3 linked regions of the Schizosaccharomyces pombe genome follow. The gene in region 2 interacts genetically with the main gene of each other region. Each region holds a gene or a part of one and is shown on either strand. Other genes may lie near its edges.

Region 1 (6,373 bases), 4.4 Mb from region 2:
TGTTATCAGCGGTTGGTCTTGGTAAAGAGTAGGTCTGGCGTAGATACTAACAACTTGGTAAGTTAGTTAGTATTGTCCGTCAGTAAAGAAAAAACAATGGAAACATTTATGAAGATTGGTATTTTTTACTAAAACCCCCACTGAAGGTACAATAAAAATAAGTGGTTTTATCGCATTTGGCAAAGCATGAATGAGTCACCTCTAAAGATAGTGTCAAAACTCGTAATTACGATATTACTAAAGTAATTACAAAAAATACTAAAATCATCATTTTTGATACTTTCAATAAGTCTAGTCATGTCCTTGAATGACTTTTACTGTAATAGAATTCAAAAAAAAAACGACGATTATTACTTTCAAACGAATCATACGAAACAAATATACTGTTCATTAGAGATTTGGCGTTTTTTGACTTGCTAAAGGATTATTAAACATATGAAACGGTTACAGAAGTAGGCAAATTTGTACAACAGTAAATATAACTATAAAGCTTTTATACAATACCACTGCTGTTACTACCCAAATCTTGAATAGGGATAGCACCGTCTGCCTGATAATAAGCAGCTTCTGTCACGGATATATAATTGGGGATAGCATCGATAATTTTAGAAAATTTCGTTTCAACCCAGACAAGAAAGCCTCCTCGTGGCAGGAAAAAGTCCATATAAGCGAAGGAAAATATAATAGAAATAACGACAGCAGTAAGGTGCAAAACGATCGTAATTGAAAAATCTAACGGAAGTCCTAAGACAGGAGCTACTAAAGCTAATGCCATCCTTACGACTTGAGGAAGATTCAAACTAAAATATTGTTAATTATAACGTTGAATAAGTACAGTCATACAGTTTGGGATGCAAATCTCCAAAAAGATTCAAGAGATACATAGCCAGAAGCGAATAAACCCAACCACTAAAAACATTAGCATGTATATCCAAGAAAAGAATTTTAAGGTGAAAAAGTTAGATATAAATTTTCAAACAATTTAATATCATTTATGAGAGACAAAAAACATACCCAATACCAACATAGACATCGTCAGACTCAGCAACATAGCAAGCTATTAAGTATGCAATGGCAGGAATTACTTCCAAAAATCCAAAAAACATGGCGATTGTACATAATGTTCCGTATCTGCGTTCAAAACGTGGCATAAGAAGAAAAATTCCTAAAAGTCCTAAAATGAAAGAAATTACTCCATGATGAACGAGCGGATATGTGTTTAGGGTATGAACTGCGTACTTTGTCAGTTTGTTTCAGGAATATATATTTATTCTAACATACGGCGAATGTTTATTAAATTATGCCAGCTTAGGCCAAAAAAGTCAACGATAGGCAAGAAAATGTTTACGATTCCAAGAATGATAGTTAACAGGGCAACAATCACAGTGAAGAGTGGAATTTTCATAAGGAAAAGTTCCGCTAAAAATCCGACCGATGTCGAAATACGTTCTCCTAGTTCAATGGCCATGCTATTTATTAATTAAGTTACACCTTTTACCTTCTCTCGGTAATAATTCGTCTAAAATATTCCCTTTTTAAAAAAGTTTTAGGAATATTGACTTTGTTGGTTTATAGCAAGGTAAAGTAAGCGCTGGTTATACCAGCCAAGGTGTATATGAAAGTCAATCGCAATACAAGTTCGACTAACCAATTATTTTTCAAGGGAAAATATTGAGTTTTATATAATTTTACATACAATGACTATTAAGAATTTCCATCTGCTAAAGATAAAGGTAGTAATTAATCACAGTTTTGCAAATAATCGCAATCGAGTGAAGTAAACAGCAAATATAATTATTATGATTAATTGAAATAAGATTCATTGTAAGTAGAATTATATAAAGCAAATCTAGCAAACAGTAAACAGGGTGTTCATTTTTATGAAAATACAGACAAATAATTCCGTTAAATATATAAAGACAGCCTAAAACAATAAAACTAGGTAGAACCTTTTATACATACATTAAGTCAAATAAATAATTCGTGTCTTCAACTTCACATTCAAATCTTTCTCAGCGACCAGTGTAGGTGTTATCTATATTATAACCGTTTTTTTAAATATCTTTCCCTCTTATTAATGTCTTTACGAGACTTCAGGAAACTATGCCTTAAATTGTTAAGTGATTTATTTAAATACATAACAAGAGGATAATGTTAGGAAACATCAAACTAAAGTCGAGGGTCCTCAATCACCTCACTTAAGCAAATTATTAAAGCATCGTCTGGCACTACAGGAATCAACCATCCAGGCTCTTTCCAAAAACTATCTGTTTCAGCTGGAATAGACTTCTTTTTAGTTTTCCGGGAATAATTTATCACCCTTATGGCCCCATAAACGTCCAAGCTGTAATCCTTTTGAATTTTCTTGATATCCCAATCGTGAACGATTTTGCAATGTTCAAAACAAAAAACTGGTTCATAGAAATTAGTGCAAAATATACATTCCACAGATAATGGTTCTGCATCCTCATCATTTATACTGTAAAATGTTAAAAAAAAAGGAATATTTGAATACATACTCAGATATAGTATCATCAGTTTCATTTATGTCTTCATTAATTGCAAACTGTGAATGCGAAATGGTGATACTTTTTGTAACAGAAGCATAATTTATAATATAGAACTCATCGTATTCTGACGATTTTGGGTCAAGCCGGAAATGCCGCTTGTTATTCATGTGTTCTCGTAAAAGCTTTTTATTTTTGCAAGGGACATGACAGCATAGACATCTAAAACTTATCAAACGATGTTAGAATATGACGGAAAGAAGTAATAACACAAATAAAACTGATAAATATGATTACCTTTCTAGTTCATTCTTTATCTTTTCAAGTAACCGATTTATGTAAACAATATTGTCTGCTAATCCGATATTAAGCCCGTGAACGTGAAAACTATGTTCAAACCATTCTTGACGGTTTAAAAGACCTTCATTATTACAGAACAAACATTGTAAGGATTTTATTTTTCCCTCTCTCCGTTCTTTTTGCTGTTGCCTTAAGACTCGTTTAAGTGAATTTTCTTGAGCAATTTGTAGTAAAAGTATTTCTTGGTCTTTCAAATTTGGATTCTGGTTGAGCTCATTGGCAATCTCTGATGCGCATAAATAAGCATTCTTAGCTAACGTCTGTACTGACGAATTGTGTATAGTTGTAAGGTGGCTTATAAAAGAAATCGAGTCACCAGCAAATTCACAATCAAAAGGGCATCGAATTATTATAGCATCGTCGGAACTCATTCTAGTCGGTGTTCTTGAAATTCATTGAAGTTGCCCAATGACCAAGTGTCTTAATTTTTATTCTTTTAAGATATATTAAACAGTTTCAAGTCTAAGTAATGCGGAATTCAATAAATAATAATTTACTTCTTTAGTTTTAGTCCCTTCTTCCTTAGATCACCGATAATATCGTATGGATATGCATAGAATAGGCCAAGTTATCCAGCAGTGAGGCTAAAATTACACATTGCGTTAATCAACTTTAAAATTATGAGAATAATGTAGTAACAAAAAAGGATAATTAAAACGAGTTCTCTAAAAAATATTTATAGTACTGACTACTATCGAGCATTTCTACTTTTAAAAAGCACATTTAAAAGATATCACTCTTATGTGGATTCTGTATCTTTTTTAAACTGTAATTGTTGGTAATATCTTTAAAATGAAAACATATATCGCATGGAAAGCTACTAATTCATGTCCTTTATTTTGAACAAATATCAATCGATAATATTTTTGTCTCTAGACTCAAAACTGTTCATTTATTCGTTTGCTCGGTGATGGAGCAAGCCTGAACTTCATTTACTACGGAGATTTTTGCGTTGCTCCAGTTATTGTATCACATTATTTACTTTTCGTATAATAAAGCAGGTCGTAAGTACTTATCGTAGTTTAACGTAATATTATGTAAGCTACGCAGTTTGGTATCTGATTTAAGGATACGTAGAACTGCGGTGAGTTTTCCTTGTGGTCTATTATATTACAATACACAGGTTGTATAAGTAGCAACTGAGTATAGGTATTGTATTAACTGGATTATAATGTTACCTATCACTAATATAGCTCATAACTGAACTGAGGAACGAGGTTCAGTTGTAACGCTATTTATAATATTTCTAAATAGTTGTTATCAACGGGTATCTATGTATATAGACGGATAGTTACCCGTGATTATCAATAAACGGATCTTAGCTAGTATTCCAACATATGACATATAGTGATACGCAACGTAGTGTATCATAGCGTAGTGTAGTATTGCTGACATATTAAAGTTAATTAAAATATTTGAAACAATTCCACAAAATCATTTACGAATACTAAGGTGTTTGTAAAGTTATTTAGCAGACCATAGTAGTACTCGCAAACATGACTTCACTCCCACCATATCTTATCCCAAACACTATATTAATCAAGTTAGCCTTTGCTTAGTCTAAAGGGGGTGTATGTACGCTTTCATGTGAACATCTGACGACGTGAAGTTTGGTTTAAATATTTTGAGAAAAAATAAAGGTAATAGAAAAAAATTTCAAAAAGGGGAATGGAGCTTATGGCTCGCTTTCTAGAGCGATATTTACATTTTGCACCGACAAACACCGAGCCTCCAGGGACATTAATTTGGTTTTTAGGACATTCTTACAAAATTGAAGATAGCCAATGGCCTGAAAAATTTTTATACGACTCATTCTCTCTTATTACAATCACTTATCGTAGTGGTATTGAAGGGCTTGAAAATATGACATCTGACACCGGTTGGGGTTGTATGATTCGATCCACTCAGACACTATTAGCAAATTGTTTACGAATCTGCTATCCTGAAAAACAATTGAAAGAAATATTGGCACTATTTGCTGATGAGCCTTCAGCCCCTTTTTCTATCCATCAATTTGTTACAATGGGCAAAACTTTGTGCGATATTAATCCAGGGCAATGGTTTGGACCTACAACATCTTGTTCTTGTGTTGCGTAAGTGTTTCTTGTTATTTAAATTGAGTTTTCTGGTCGATAAAAGAACAATTGATCTCTTCACATAGTTCGAATTTCTTCCGTTCTTTTTTATCCTTTTTAAAAAAAAGAAGAAAAATTTTGAACGTTTTATTTTTTTTTTGGAATTCAGTCAGTATGACATTTACTAACTTTTTGTTAAAGTCGATTAAGTGATCAGAACCCGGACGTCCCATTACACGTTTATGTTGCCAGGAATGGAAATGCTATATACCGAGATCAACTTTCAAAGGTCTCCTTTCCTGTTTTACTTTTAATTCCTACCCGTTTAGGAATTGATTCAATTAATGAATCATACTACGATCAGTTGCTTCAGGTGTTTGAAATTCGTTCATTTGTTGGCATCACTGGAGGTCGTCCAAGGTCTGCTCATTACTTTTATGCAAGACAAAATCAGTACTTTTTTTATCTGGATCCTCATTGTACTCACTTTGCTCACACTACCACCCAGCCTGCTTCCGAGGAAACTTTTCATAGTGCTACTTTACGAAGAGTAGCAATACAAGATCTTGATCCCTGTATGATCTTTGGGTTCTTAATTCGAGATGAAGAAGAATGGCATTCATTTGAAGCGAATCAAAAATATTTTGCCGACATAGTTCAGATTTTCGACTCCGAACCTCAACCAGTCGAGACACATGATGATTTCGTTTTGGATGAGAATGTTGAAGATCATCTTTAATCCATTGTTTACTACTGTTTCAAGTTTTATTTATAAATTTGAAATTATAATACTAACGACTTCGCATTTATGACATATGTAATTATGAACTGACCCTAGTAGCATTTACGCTTTGGGTTTAGTAACTTAATGAATAATTATTTATCCAACGTTTTTCAAGGAAATTTATTATCCCGGTTTCTTGAATTCCTTCTCCATCCCAAATCGGCTAAAGGGATATTTTTTTAATCGTTAAGCGTTTAGTTGTGCTTGTGCTATTATTTGGTCAGTGTTTCCCTTCTATTCAACCGGTCTCCTTATTGTTAATTTCATGCTTTATCTTTGAAAACTGTTAAACAATGAGTCTGTTTGATTTTTTATTAAATGTGCGTATTTGAAATGGATGTTTATGTGTTATATTTCGTGAGGATTTTGTTCTTGTTTTTAATGTCTCTTTGTTACGCTTTTCTTTTCATCTGATGTTCTTCCCTGTGAGTAAATTTCAAAAACTTATATTATACAATGTGCATTACTAAGATGATTGGACAGCAATCTCAGAATTTCTCATTTCTTTGCTTTTGCTTACCTGAGATAAATATTGTGATCTTCTCAAATGCCCTTTCCTGAGCTACTTAGCTTAAAGTTATTTAAGTAATAATAAATTAAAGCATATTCTTTTTTTTTTATTACGGGTATTCTGATCGAGCCTTTTC
Region 2 (5,633 bases):
CTTCAAGACTTTTTTAAGGAGTTCAAGCATAATTAGTAAATTGAGGTGTGAACGGTTATCAGATGATTGAGCCATCAAATTTATCTACGATCATTTTCTAACCTGATTCGTTTGATGTTCCATTCAACAAAATCTGTTATACTACTTTAAGCGTAACCCATTTGCTCTACTCGCATCATCTATATGCTACTAAACCAAACCACTCATTGTCAGCTTAATATTAATATTCAGCATAACACAAGTTTCGTCATATATTTAAAAATTCACCTTACTTTTTCATGTTTTAAGTTTTACTGTAAAATCCCACCATTCTTTGTAGAGACCAACATGATTCTTGGCTGTGGTGGTATTTAAGATTTTACCTTGGTGTACCCTATTGCATTCATTTCCACAACGCACCTCTCGACATTCAAGCAGTAATGCTAATCTCTATCATCATAGAACCCTTTATTTGATAATTTTCATTATTTATGAGTCAAGTTTTATCATCATAATTAGAAGATCGGCTGTACAACTTGACTCGACATATTTTACACTGTTTGCGTCTCTCTTTGTAAAAATTCATCCATTGTATAATTGCATTCAAGTTTATTTTAATATATTATTTCAGATTTTCTCCCTTTTATTTAATATGGCGTTGATAGAGGATTTGAATCACTTTATCAATTATTTTCCTCTAGTATTGAGATTATTCTTCTTGGTCGTATTTGGTCTTTATTCTTTCACATTGATATTACATCTATTAGTGATAAATAGGGTCGACGTGTTCTCATTATTACATACTCCGTTGCCTGTCAATCGATCACAGCAAGCTAATGCTCCTCTATGGCAATTGTCATTCTCCCTATCTATATTAGGTACTCTACTTTTCGTAATAGCCGAATCCTTATATTTGATTTCTGGGTCTGATGAATTGGCATACGTCCCCGTTTTTATTTTTGGTGTTATTGTTTTTATGCCTGTACATAAGTTCTGGTTCTTCCAGAGAAAGGTGTTTACTCGACAGTGTCTAAGGATTTTGGGAGGAAGCTACAGACCTGATTACAAATTTCCCGATGTTATATTTTCTGATTTATTGACTTCTTACTCGAGGGTCATTGCTGATCTCTGGCTAGCTGGAGCAATCTTGATTTACGTAACTGACTCACCTAATAACTCTCATAGAAAACAATATGAAAATGAGGTTATTATGTCAATGATTGCAGCGTATCCATACGCTATCCGATTTCGTCAATGTTTGATTGAAAGAAGCTCTGCGGATAATTCATCAGATAAATTTTGGAGTACATTGAATTCTATCAAGTATTTCACTGCTTTTCCAGCGATATTCCTTGGGATTTTTGCAAAGAAAAGATTTAGCTTTCTATGGTTTTTATGGAATACCTCTTCAGCTATAAATTCAACTTATTCATTTTGGTGGGATGTTTCAATGGATTGGAGTCTTCCCTTTTTTAAGCAACCGTTATCAATCCAAAACTGGAAATTTGGGGTTCGGCGTTTATTCCCAACATTCACATTTGCAGTTGTAAGTGCGATTGATTTTGTTTTGCGAATGGCCTGGGTAGTTCGCGTTTTGCCTGAACATCAATCCGCGTTTTTTACCACCGACTTTGGGATCTTTATAATGCAATTTCTTGAAGTTTTCCGACGTTGTGTTTGGGTTTTTTTTCGGATAGAAGCCGAAGCTTCTAAATCATTGGCCTATGTTAACATAAGTGATCGTAGTGACATCCCGACAATACATCCAGATTAAATGGAAATGATTGAAGTTACTATTGTCACATATGTGTAGGTATTACATCTGCAACCTTTTCAAAAAATTTCTTTCTTTAGGGCGTATCAATTTACCGTTCTATTATTTGCTTGGCATATAATATGTTTTTCATTCTTTTATTGCGCTAATGGTTTAATATTGCAAGTACATTGTCATTTGCGGACTTGCAACACAATGGCACCGTCTCGCTGAATTGGGTTTACTTAAAGTAAGAAAGTTACTTAAAATTTTATTATGGATATATACTTTTATTTGTTACATGGGAATCGTAATGGGTTTGAACAAATTTCACCATCTTTTACTGATTAAGTTGTTGAGTCAAAAGTTTAAAACATGAATTTAATAATAAATAAATAAATCAAGCTCTCTTTTTGCATACTGAATAACAAACTAGATCAGTAGACTTTTTTATTGTAAAAACATAATCAGTAAGTATGAAAAGAACCTCCCAAAGAAAACCCCCCAAATTAATCATGCATTTATAGTGTACTCAAATTCCTTCCAAATTTACCTAGACATGAGCATGCTCTATTTATCTACTATCCAAAGAGTTTCCTAAGTGCTCCCGTACCGTTTCCAAAGGATTTGAAACGAATGAAGGGTGCTTCAATATGGCTTGGAACCTTTCGATTTCCTCAACGGTATTTCGTTTCATAGAACTCTTAGTTTGTTTAGAAGATAAACTATCCTTAATTACGGGCTTCAACCTGGAGTTAGCTACCGAAATATCAAGATCAATTTCTGGAAGTACTTCTCCAATCGAAGACACATTGACTTTCAGGTTTTCTCTGGCTTTACGGTTCCGGCGCTTACGAGCCGAAGCAGATATTTTTGGATTAGAAAATTTTTGCTGCCAGTTGAAATGACGGTCTTTCCGTTTATCTTTCTTTGTTTCTTTCAGCGGATCATTGTTGAGCACTTGACTATTCGAAGTAACGGTGGAAGATAACTCGACATTTGGAATACTAGCTTGTTGGCTAGGTTTACCAGAAGACGGTAAACGACTTGATGCTTTTGACGCTAGACTGACTCTTTTTTTTGCTTTTGGCTGTTGTCGTCAGCCAAACGTTTATCTATGGATGAACATACCATGCTAAAATAAAATTGATTGTGAATCAATCGATAAAAATCGTTTTAAATGTTAAATAGGATATATAACCAAAATAATATTTACGATTGGAGTGAAATATCTTGAATATTCGGTGTGCTTTCTGGTTTAAAAATTCACTACAACTATTGGCATCGGATTTAACGGACTGCCCTTGATTGCGTAAGTTGGTTTCATAATATTAGTATTTGAAATGAAAAACTTAACTTACATTAATTTCCATCTTATGTGCAATGAATTAAGAAACAACATTAATTAACAATTTTTATAAATTAAAGCAGTTTTAAATGAATGTCCAACATGGTTCCTAAAGTATTTGCAAACTAAACCCTATAGCCATTTTCCGAATATAAACATTGAAACTTGAAAAGAAAATACATACAAAAATAATTAGGTTAGAGTAACTGGAAGTTACATAAGAAGCCACACAGCCTAGACTTCCTAATCGATATAAAATACTATGAATTAATTACTGGAGCCAGCCAGGCTTGATGGAGCCTTAATTGAAGAAAAGGGAGATAGGGGAGCATTAGAAAACCTTTGAAGAACTTCCCTGTAAATAGAATTTTCAAAAGATTGTATGTCGATTGTTGAAAACGAGTAGCTTTCTTCATAAGCGTCTATAGAAATGCGATTTAAAAAGTTTCTTAATTGAGCGTCCGTTGTGTAAATGCCTAAAGAAGGGGTTCTTGTAGTTGAAGTAAGAATAGAATGTTCGGATTCAACACTGGATTTGTCGTCCTTCTCCGATGCTTGCTCCTGAAGTCGCTCAGAAACCTTTTGTACGAGGGATTTACGGCTAGTTTTTCCGCTCCAATAGACAGCATCTAGTGGACTAAGCATCACAACCCATTCATGTAGCGCAAATTCTTCAAGTTTGAGTGCAGTTAAAAAATCCAAAAGCCTGCATGCGTCTAATAATGTCTCTTTAGAAATGGCAACATTTGGCATACAGTAAGATTTAAAAATGATCAACAATTCGCTAACAACGATTGGCCATAATGGAAGCAAATGCTTCGAAGAGGTCCTTAAAGCTAGAGCTCTAATAAATAAAAACAGGTCCTTTTTTAATACTCCTTCAGGATCAGACGTTATAAGCCGTTTGACAAGGTCAATCAGAGGTGGAAGACTAGGCAGGAAAAAATCACGTGGAGAAGATAACATTAATATTGTGATCCGACATATGTTGCTCTGCCTTGCACCTAGTTGAGTATCCCGAGATGTAAATAAAGTAGTAACGCCTAAATCAGATTTTGTTATGAGATCATTTAATCTAGATATCTCTTGGTACAAAGCTGTGTATATTACTGGAGAAAGCTTTCTTAATTGATCAATATCGAACCTGAACAGTGAATTATCATTAAAAATTTCCCAAAAATCGCGCCTCCATGATTTACTCAAAAACGGATGTTTACTCAACACGAGCAATAAGTCCAAATGATAAGTGGTGAGTGATTCCGGAAATGTCCTAGCCTTTACTAAAGGAGTTATAAATACATTGACGATTGATGTAGCCCAAGCAACTAGTTTATCTTCTTCCTTAGAAAGCTCGGTTATTTTTGGAACAAACTCAGAACAGAAAAAGTCAAGCAAAGAGGGATCTAAGTATTTTACGAATAAATACACGGAGCTAGTTTTCTTTTGTGTTTTGGCAACCTCAAACGTGTCTGCAGCAGCTTTATGATACGCCAGAAAATCTACAGTTAGGTTTGGATCACTTGATTTTCCTGCATGAAATAAGACTGAGGACAATGTTTTCCCCATCAAATCAATAAAGTCTTTTTGCTGGCGAGATTCGCAATAAGTGTTCACGTTTTTTGCAACTTCCAGTAGCATTCGTAAACATACCAGCAAATAGTTTTTAAAGCTGTTTGAGGAAGAAATAATCTCCCGAACAAATTTTGAAATTTCCGTAAAAATCTTAGATGTGTTTTCGCCCTCCACTCTGGAGACGAAGTCAGACATACAGCATAAAATATCGAGTTGTGTAATCTTTGCTGTCAAACTAGAAGGCCCTGCATAACTAGCTATTCCTTCACGTGCAAAAAAAGAAGAAACTAATTGCTTAACAATGTACTGAGGTTCAGAATCACTAAGAAATGAAAATATATCCCATATACACTGGCAACACTCAACATTGTTCTCCAAATAGATTTGTACCAGCGTTTCTACGCATTCAAGAGGTTCACAGAAGTAAAACTCTTTTAATCCCGATAAGGATGCTTCTTTTAAAACCGATGAATCATTCATAAATACTTTTGACGTTTTATCAGCATATGAAGACCGAATATGCCATGAATATGATAAAAATAATGTTTGCAAAGCATCCTGCATAGTTAAAAGCATAGATAATCTCTTGTTGACATCGATGCTAACGCCTGACGACTCCGCTGCAAACACACCAGAAATGACATTTCCGATGATACCATTGGCTTCTAAATTACTTTTCTTGGGGCCGGGTGAATATGTGAATTCCAATAAGGCTGCTGAAACTAACTCGCTAAGCATTTTCAACTTAGCAATAAAAACATCCATGCACGCATAATCTTTTACTGGGTCAGGGTATTTTAGGTACATAGACTCGTGTTGGTCAAGAAATGAATGAACAAATTTGCACAAAGATTGAATGGGATTAACCATCAAAAGTTGAAGGTTTTGTAAAAGAAGAGGTAAAAGCTTCTTTATAGCATGTAGCCACTTTGGCGAAAGTCCTGGATCATCATTCAACATTCCAACCAAAACAAAATTGGA
Region 3 (7,828 bases), on a different chromosome or scaffold from region 2:
CTTTGTAGCCAAACGTTTAAGCAGAATGTGCTTTTGGTGGCTGATGAAAAGTGGTGGATAATGAACTAGTTTTATTCAATGGCAACCCACAAGCCAACGAAAGTTCAACATTATATCTATTTAATTTACATATTTTTTAGAATTCTTTCATTGATAATCAAGAAAAATAAAAAAAGTAGGCTCACCTCTAGATACACAATCTAATATGCTTCGTAAATTTCGCAAGCTCAATGTTTATTTGGGATTAGAGATATCTTCATTATGCTTTAAAACAGTGCTTTTACATACTATAAGAAATTCAGTCTTGCCATTGTATTACATATAAACTGGTTTCCAATAGTTTCGAGAAGGGTCGATTTTGGAAAGGGTTGAAATCGGTTTAGTTTATGATATTTTCAATAATGTTAAAATACTGTTTGTCGTTTTAACTTGGGACTCGTCTTGGCTGATTTGAATAAACCACTGAAGTTTTTTGTCTTTCTTTTTTATTCCTCTGAATCGGAAATACTTTTCCCGATAAGCGTTTCGAATGAATAGAATTGAAATTGTTTTGTCCCTTTACTTTCTACTTATATAAAAGAAGACGCACTTCTTTTGGAGACATATTCTCAAACAACACAAAATATGCTGGATTGTAAATACTCAGTTTAAACACATATGAGAACTTAAAGTAAGATATCTTTATTATCAATTTATTTTATTAGCTTCACATGAAGGAATATAAATTACATTTATTTCAAAACCTGATTAATACTTGTTCGCAGCTTTAGGTATGTGTATAAATTTATTAAATATGCTTAGTAACTGTCTACGGCCACACCTAGGCGAAAACACCAGTTCCCGTCCGATCACTGCAGTTAAGCGTCTGAGGGCCTCGTTAGTACTATGGTTGGAGACAACATGGGAATCCGGGGTGCTGTAGGCTCCTTTCTTTTTTTTTCGGAATATTATTTTATTCTTACAATGTTAACGGCTTCACTGAATTTTTTATGCTGCTTTGTTGATGATACTGTAAAAAATAGTGACAAATAAAGATTTTGAAATATATCAAACCTATCTGTAAACATTTGAGAACAATTCTAGCGTACGAATTAACTTGTCCATATCTTGTTGTCATACGAATGCACTGTTTATTGTTCATCGTTGACAGTTTTCAATGTAAAATCAATTTTTTATTTGAGAAAATGGTTTCTAATGTGCCGCTTTTGTTAAAAAATTATAGTGCAACAATAGATAGATATGCTATTCCTTGAAATGTGGGTTTCTTTTCATTACTCTTTACAGTTTTCTGTTATGTTGTCGTTTTGAAAATGGACTCTTCACAAGAAGAGAGTATTGACTTTAGCAATTTAAACATAGAATCTTAGCACGTTTGATTTTATTATTTTATAATTAGTTAGTCATTTGAATTGCCAAAAATGGTGACTTAATTTTGGTTACTAACAATTGAATAAAAAAATAAAATAAAAATAAAAAGAAGAAAAATCAATATAAATTGCGAGATGATACTACTAAAGTTCACAGCAATTTTTTTTAAAAAACAACGAAAATTTGTAAAAAATGACAAAATTAAAGATGAAATAGTAAAATAATGCGAACGCTTCATCAAACCATTTGACACATTAGTTATAAGCATTGACAGAAACTTTGATAATAATGCTTTTAGAATTTATCTTAATATAACTAGGCGATTATTCAGCTGTACAATTTAGTTTTTTTGAATAAATTATAATGTTATTTTATCAATATTCTATGTTTTTATAACTCTACAATTAAATAGATATATGCTTTTTAATAGAGCATTCTAACAAGCTTTGGTGGTTTAGTGGTATAATGAATCGTTGCCATCGATTCGACCCGGGTTCGATTCCCGGCCAAAGCAATGTTTCTTGTTTTTATTGTTAATTTAATATTAGCAGGCTTCATATTTATTTTTTTAGATAAAGGGCATCACGTTTATAAGTGTGGTTCACTTGAACCCAACAAAGTGAATGAAGAGCTTCGAATGTTACTGAAGCCGCGTAATTAGAACGGATGGATTATTACTTGAAGCAGTAATTAAAGTTTTCATAAATTGACCAACTGAATACCCGATATTGCATTGCAAATTTCTAAACATACCAACGTGTTAGGAATCTGTAATAGCAAAGCATGGAACGAAAGGTGTTTAGTCAACTTGAATTTAGCTAAACGAATTGCACATCTTTTAACAGTATCGAAGAAATTGGGCAATAGAAAAGTTAATACAATGAGCTCTACTTTCATCATATTTTCATGTATTCAGGCAAGCAGCTAACTAGCTATTGTCTTAAGAGCAATAAAGATACACAACGGTAAATCGTTAAATACAATAGTAAACTGCACTCCACTACTATATAAATCAAGCTTTTAGAAAAGGTAATCGCAAAAATGAAGAAAAAGTAAAGTAAAATTTAAACAATAACATTGTTCTTTATAACGTTATAAGTTTTTCTATGTATAAAAATTTCAAGGAAAGCTATAGTTTGCACTTTAGCGCATTCACTACCACCTTGCTCTGGTATAGGCAATTTCCATTTAAGCAAAAGCACTATGCTGCACGACACCAAAACGCAGCCAGAACCACTACCCTTAAATAACACGAAAAATCTTGCATATCGTCTTGAAGCACGAATACACGTGCCTTGTCGATTTTCAAGACCTGTATTAATTTTTGTAAAGAAAAGTAGAATCAAAAATGAGTGAGAATAAAAAGTTTCGGCCAAAGAAGGTCGGAAATACCGAACAAGTTTCAGAAAAGCAACACACAGATACAGCGTTAAATATATCGCAAGATAATAAAACTTCATCCTCTTCCGCCAAGAGAGGAGCGAAGGGAAGGCGAGGCACCAAAGGAAAATCTGGCCCGGCAAATTCGTCTCAGACTAGTAATATAGAGGGATCAAATGCGCTTGAGCTCGAATTTGATCGTGATTCGCAGTTAAGCGTATTGCAAGAGCTGTTTCCTAGCTGGACGATTGATGATTTAAGTTTTGCTTTAGAAGAAGCGGACCGGGATTTGGAACTGACCATATTGCATATTACTGAAGGTCACGCCTCCAAATGGGGTGAAGTTAAAAAGAAGCCAATCCCTAAAACAAAGTCCAAACCAACAAGTCATGCTCCAGTTTCCGATAATGTCTCTTCCACCTTTCGTAATGCTACACGTAAATCAAAGAAACCTTCCGCTTCTAAGGATACTTCTCGGGGGGTTCGAAAATCAAAAGCAGGAGCTCCCTCAGATCCTTCTTCCGTTCATGCACCATCCTCTTTAGAAAAGCCTGCTGGTACTGGCGATCTTCCTTCCTCAGAAATTTCTACCAAAGCTCCTGCATCAACGACAGTGTCTTCTTCCGTTGATCCTGGTACTATTAATGAAGATTCCTCAATGAAAGATCATACTACATCTAATGAACAAGCTTCAGTTTTAACATCGGCTAATACCGCTGCTTCAACAAATACGAACGGCACCGCAGGCGGTACTTCGGCCTCAGCAAAGTCGACCAGTGCGGCTGATCAGGCTGTTGCATCTTCAAAGCCTATAAAGAAGGCTTGGGCTTCAGTTGCAAAGTCGAAGAAAAAGGTCACTCCCGCTCCCGCTCCCGCTCCCGAATCCGAACCTTCTAAACCCTCTATCGCTCCTTCTCAACCCTCTAAAACTAATGTTTCCGCTGCTTACGAAAAACCTGCTGAACTGTCATCCTCATCTGTTCCTTTCCCTCACAAATCCCAGGACTCTGCAACTCCCGCAAATGTTGAAACGACCCCCTCCACAGCTACCTCAGCTCCCAAAAAGAGTACTGCCCCATTTGCCATAAATGCAGTCAAGCCCGCTCCTGGGCTTTCCAACATCTCTTCTGCTTCCCTACCTAAGCCCTCCTTTGCGAAGCAAGCCGCTGTTGGCTCTCAAAGCTCTACAACTAGTATGACTACTGCTCGATTACTTTCTGATAGATTCCCCGTCGTTATGCCTGTTGCTAATACTGCTGCTATTCCCGAAAAGGTTCAAGTGCGTTTCGGAAGCTTGACACTTGGGGGTGAGGACAAAAAATCGACAAAGTCTTCTTCAGACAACATAGCACAGTCTGGACCAAGAAGTTCCTATTTTCCTAAAAAGACAGTTTCACCAAAGCCAGAGGCAAAAAAAGAGGCGAGCAAAGTTGCTGAATCCACCAAAATCCCAAAGAAACAACACACTTCAGCATATGAAAGCCGTGCTCCACAATCGAAGGTTCCCGAAAACTTGAAGGAATCTCATGTTAACGAGACACCATATCGTGGTTTACACGATGTAAATTTACCGGCCAGTGGAAACGCCTCTTCTGTCTCGGCCATCCCTCCTCAAGTATCAGCCCAAACGACTATACCCGCTGCATCCACAAGTGCTACAAGTGGCCCGGTGGTTGGTAAACAAAGTGCCGGATATGGCGGTATTTATTCTCCTGCTACACATGGAATTTCCCCTCAACCATATGCTGGTGCTAGTCTTATTCCTCCGTCTACCGGAGCTGCTTTTAACAACGAAACTGCATCTTCAAATGCTGGGGAGACAACTGCACTTCCATATTCTTCTAGATTTATGAATCCTGTGGAAAACCGCTCCGCCAATAGCCCATTCGACAATTTTCAACACATCGACCATAGTACTGAATTGGGATATGCTTCAAATACTTCTCAACAATATCAACAGACTAGTCATCCAGCATACACTACTATGTCTCCTATTGAATATGGTCAAGCTGCACCAGCAGCTCATTACTATAATGAGCGTAATCAATACTCACAATATGATAATGTCGCTGGTAGTGCGTCGAATACACCAGATGTGCACTCGGTAATGCATAACAAGGTTGCATCTTCTAATGCTACTTCTCTACCTGCTGCTGGAACAGCGACTCCTAGCCCTGTTGTTTCTCAACAACAGCCCCAACCTTATGCATTTCCTCCAATGTATCCTATTCCTTATGTGTCTTATGGATACGGTACGATGCCTTACAATAATAACAAGTTTGGACAGCCCCAGCAAGGATACATGTCTCAGAGCGGCTTTAATGATTTCCCTCCCATCTTTGGTGGACACAGCAACGTGTACAACAGACAACAGCCTGGCAATGTAAGTGGTATGAGTGGAACACAAACTAGCAACCCAATTAATAATGCCACTGCAAATACTAGCGGCATGACTGAGAAAGCGGCTGGACATCGTGACTCTGTGATTGGAAATGGAGGCGTAACCGGGGCGAACAGCATGTCAAGTACTTTGGGTGGTTTGTCTTCCATGTCAGGGATGGGACGTGCGGCTCCTGGTATGTTTATGGGTAATGTTGGAAGTTTTGAAAACCTTAGTGCCAATGCGGCCTCTCCTTATGGCTTACCTCCTCAACAAACGCCATTGACCAATGCTGCTACTCAGCAGACAACCTCTTTTCAAAGCAATGCTAACAAGGTCAACAATGCAAACAGCCAACCCGCTGGGTTTCCGTTCAACTCTGGAGCATCTACCAATGCAGGTAGTAATGGATTAGGAGGCTATAATGCATACAACCAGTCATTTATAAACCGACCAGGAGGTTGGTACGGTAATGCTTAAATTGAACTTATGATCAAAAAGTTTGATAACGTAGAAGTTGGAAAATGCTTTTTATAAGGATTCAAAAATAGGCTAAAAATAATTGCGGACAAGATGCTATTAATGGAAGGGTAAAATCGATTTTATTGGGACAATCGAATTTATGAAGTTTTTCAATATATATATGTGTGTGATTTATATGGCTATGTGGTCACATGTGTTTTCTGTTTGATAGTGCTTAATTATGTAGTTTGAAATGTTGCTTGTTCATATCATAACATATCATACCACGCCGTAATGTTGCCATTATATGGTAATTCCTTGTATGTTCATAGAGTATTTTTTTATTGCATTATTAAAACAAACTGGCGTTTTGGAAGAGGGAAAGGGTAAATAAAGATTTGATGTTAAGGTATTTGTAGGTGTGGGTAAGCAATGCGAAGTGGGATAACTAGTTTCAAGTAATGATTATTATATTTCCAAAAGTCAAGTGCTAATGAAACACGTTTAATCAGTTGGCAATTTAGGGGGGTGGTTCACTCGGCATTCCTATTTTAAACAATTTTTGACGGCAAATGTTAAGCGAATTCGCTAAAGCAAAGTGTAAAAAAAAAAAAGCTTCGCTAGTAATATATGCCACACTTCAGTCAACAACACTACGTCAACCCTATACGCTAAGTCTACTGAATAGAAAAACTTGATACTTTTATTTACATTGAAATGAAGAGCAAATTTGTATAATACGTATTATTGATTCTAGAAATATAGCAAATTGAAACATCCAAATTTAGCAAAACAGCATGTCGCTGTTGTAAAATTCTCATGAAAAAATAGAATGTCTAACCTTCACTACTGGCAAGATTCGTTCATGTAGATGTAGTTGAAGAAGAGACAGTGTCATACACAAACGTAGAAAAAGTTCTGAAAAGGAAAAAGACTCCTAGTAGATTATAATTCAAATCAAATCAAACCAATTAAATTCAATAGATCGATGTCTTGAAACATTAATTCCTATAAGGTTGAAAATAGTAGCAATATAACGCAAAAATAGCGAGTCGTAATAGCAAGTAAAATGGTAGTCATTATAAAGGGTTAACTGTATTTCAAGTATAAAGAACGGAGAAAGTTGGAGCAATGGCAATAACACATCGAGGAGTAATTTAGGAAAGTAGTGAGAAAGATGTTAGAAAGGAAATTTAGTAATTTGTAAGTAATGATTTCAGAACTTGGAACGTGAAAGGGAAAAAGATATTTTCATCATAAAGAAAAATTTGCCCATCGTGAAATAGAGAAATAGTGAGAAGAAAACCACCACCGAAATAGCGAGACCCGCAGTATGTTACTTCACGAGTCTCGCTATTTTAGGATTGCATAGGTTATCGGATGGAATCCAGTAAACAAATGGGTAAGGAAAAGTGCGATCAATGATGAGTGGGTTGGGTTACAAATCAATATAGTCAGGTGAAATTAATTCGTTTCTCGATATAAAAGCAATTGAGAAAGGAATTGGATAAAATTTACAGAGAATTAAAAAATGGAGACAAGAAATAAGTGAAATGGGAGTGAACGCTCTTGTAAAAAAGCTATTGAGACAAGTGAAACGGTGAGAGAATGCGTTGACAAATGTGAAAGAAAAGAGAAAAGGGAATGAATATTTATAACAAAAAAAGGTAACAGGATTATCGATGAATTTTGGGGAAAATTTATGTTGAATTGCATGACTTTTTAGAAATCACGCCTCGAATACCGTTAGACATATCATGGTAAACATGTGATTTAGGAATTGGCACATGTAAATGAGGTTGTTGGGTAGAGAGCGGATTTGAATGGTGGTAGATAATTTAGGGTAAATTTGGGATGGATAGAGTAAATGTGAAAATAGTATGTAGGATGGCGGGGGATGCGTGCGAAAGAAAAAGAACGATGCGAAATGAATTGTAAAGTATGTGACTTGGGATGATGCGAAAAAAAAAGAGTCTGGAATAAAATTTGAAGAAGAGAAGAAATACAGTAGGTGGGAGTGCAATGAATTGAATTGGAAGCGAGGAAGCGAACAAAATCGATGGATAACAAGTGAATGAACAACAAAGTGAATTTAGTTTAAAGTCAATTGCTTTGTTGAAAATCAATTTCCTCTGTTTTATCAAGTGTGCGAAGGACAAAGGGAGTAAGAAAGATTCAAAAAAAAAAAAGAAAAGAAAAAGAGGAATTCCTTTTATGAGACATCCAGTTTGTTTGCGA

What was found. Genes that interact genetically often act in the same process or in processes that back each other up.
Region 1: mutations in slx9 (region 2) and SPOM_SPAC19B12.07C together harm fitness more than expected from each alone (negative genetic interaction), as found in Schizosaccharomyces pombe (one large-scale study listed by BioGRID).
Region 3: mutations in slx9 (region 2) and def1 together harm fitness more than expected from each alone (negative genetic interaction), as found in Schizosaccharomyces pombe (one large-scale study listed by BioGRID).

The regions. Positions count from the first base shown.
Region 1 is NC_003424.3:4,893,606-4,899,978, forward strand, and holds SPOM_SPAC19B12.07C (zinc finger protein), read right to left. Parts: upstream 3,423-6,373; 5' UTR 3,239-3,422; coding exon 2,805-3,238; intron 2,736-2,804; coding exon 2,520-2,735; intron 2,480-2,519; coding exon 2,170-2,479; 3' UTR 1,853-2,169; downstream 1-1,852. Other genes in the region: rbd4 (rhomboid family protease ), read right to left, coding at 494-800, 844-909, 1,015-1,231, 1,282-1,468; Atg8 deconjugator Atg4, read left to right, coding at 4,536-4,960, 5,144-5,681.
Region 2 is NC_003424.3:495,404-501,036, reverse strand, and holds slx9 (ribosome biogenesis protein), read right to left. Parts: upstream 2,981-5,633; 5' UTR 2,867-2,980; coding exon 2,864-2,866; exon of another isoform or gene 2,823-2,863; coding exon 2,307-2,822; 3' UTR 2,010-2,306; downstream 1-2,009. Other genes in the region: erd1 (EXS domain-containing protein), read left to right, coding at 632-1,753; dop1 (family protein DOPEY), read right to left, coding at 3,348-5,633.
Region 3 is NC_003423.3:568,345-576,172, forward strand, and holds def1 (RNAPII degradation factor Def1), read left to right. Parts: upstream 1-2,593; 5' UTR 2,594-2,716; coding exon 2,717-5,608; 3' UTR 5,609-5,976; downstream 5,977-7,828.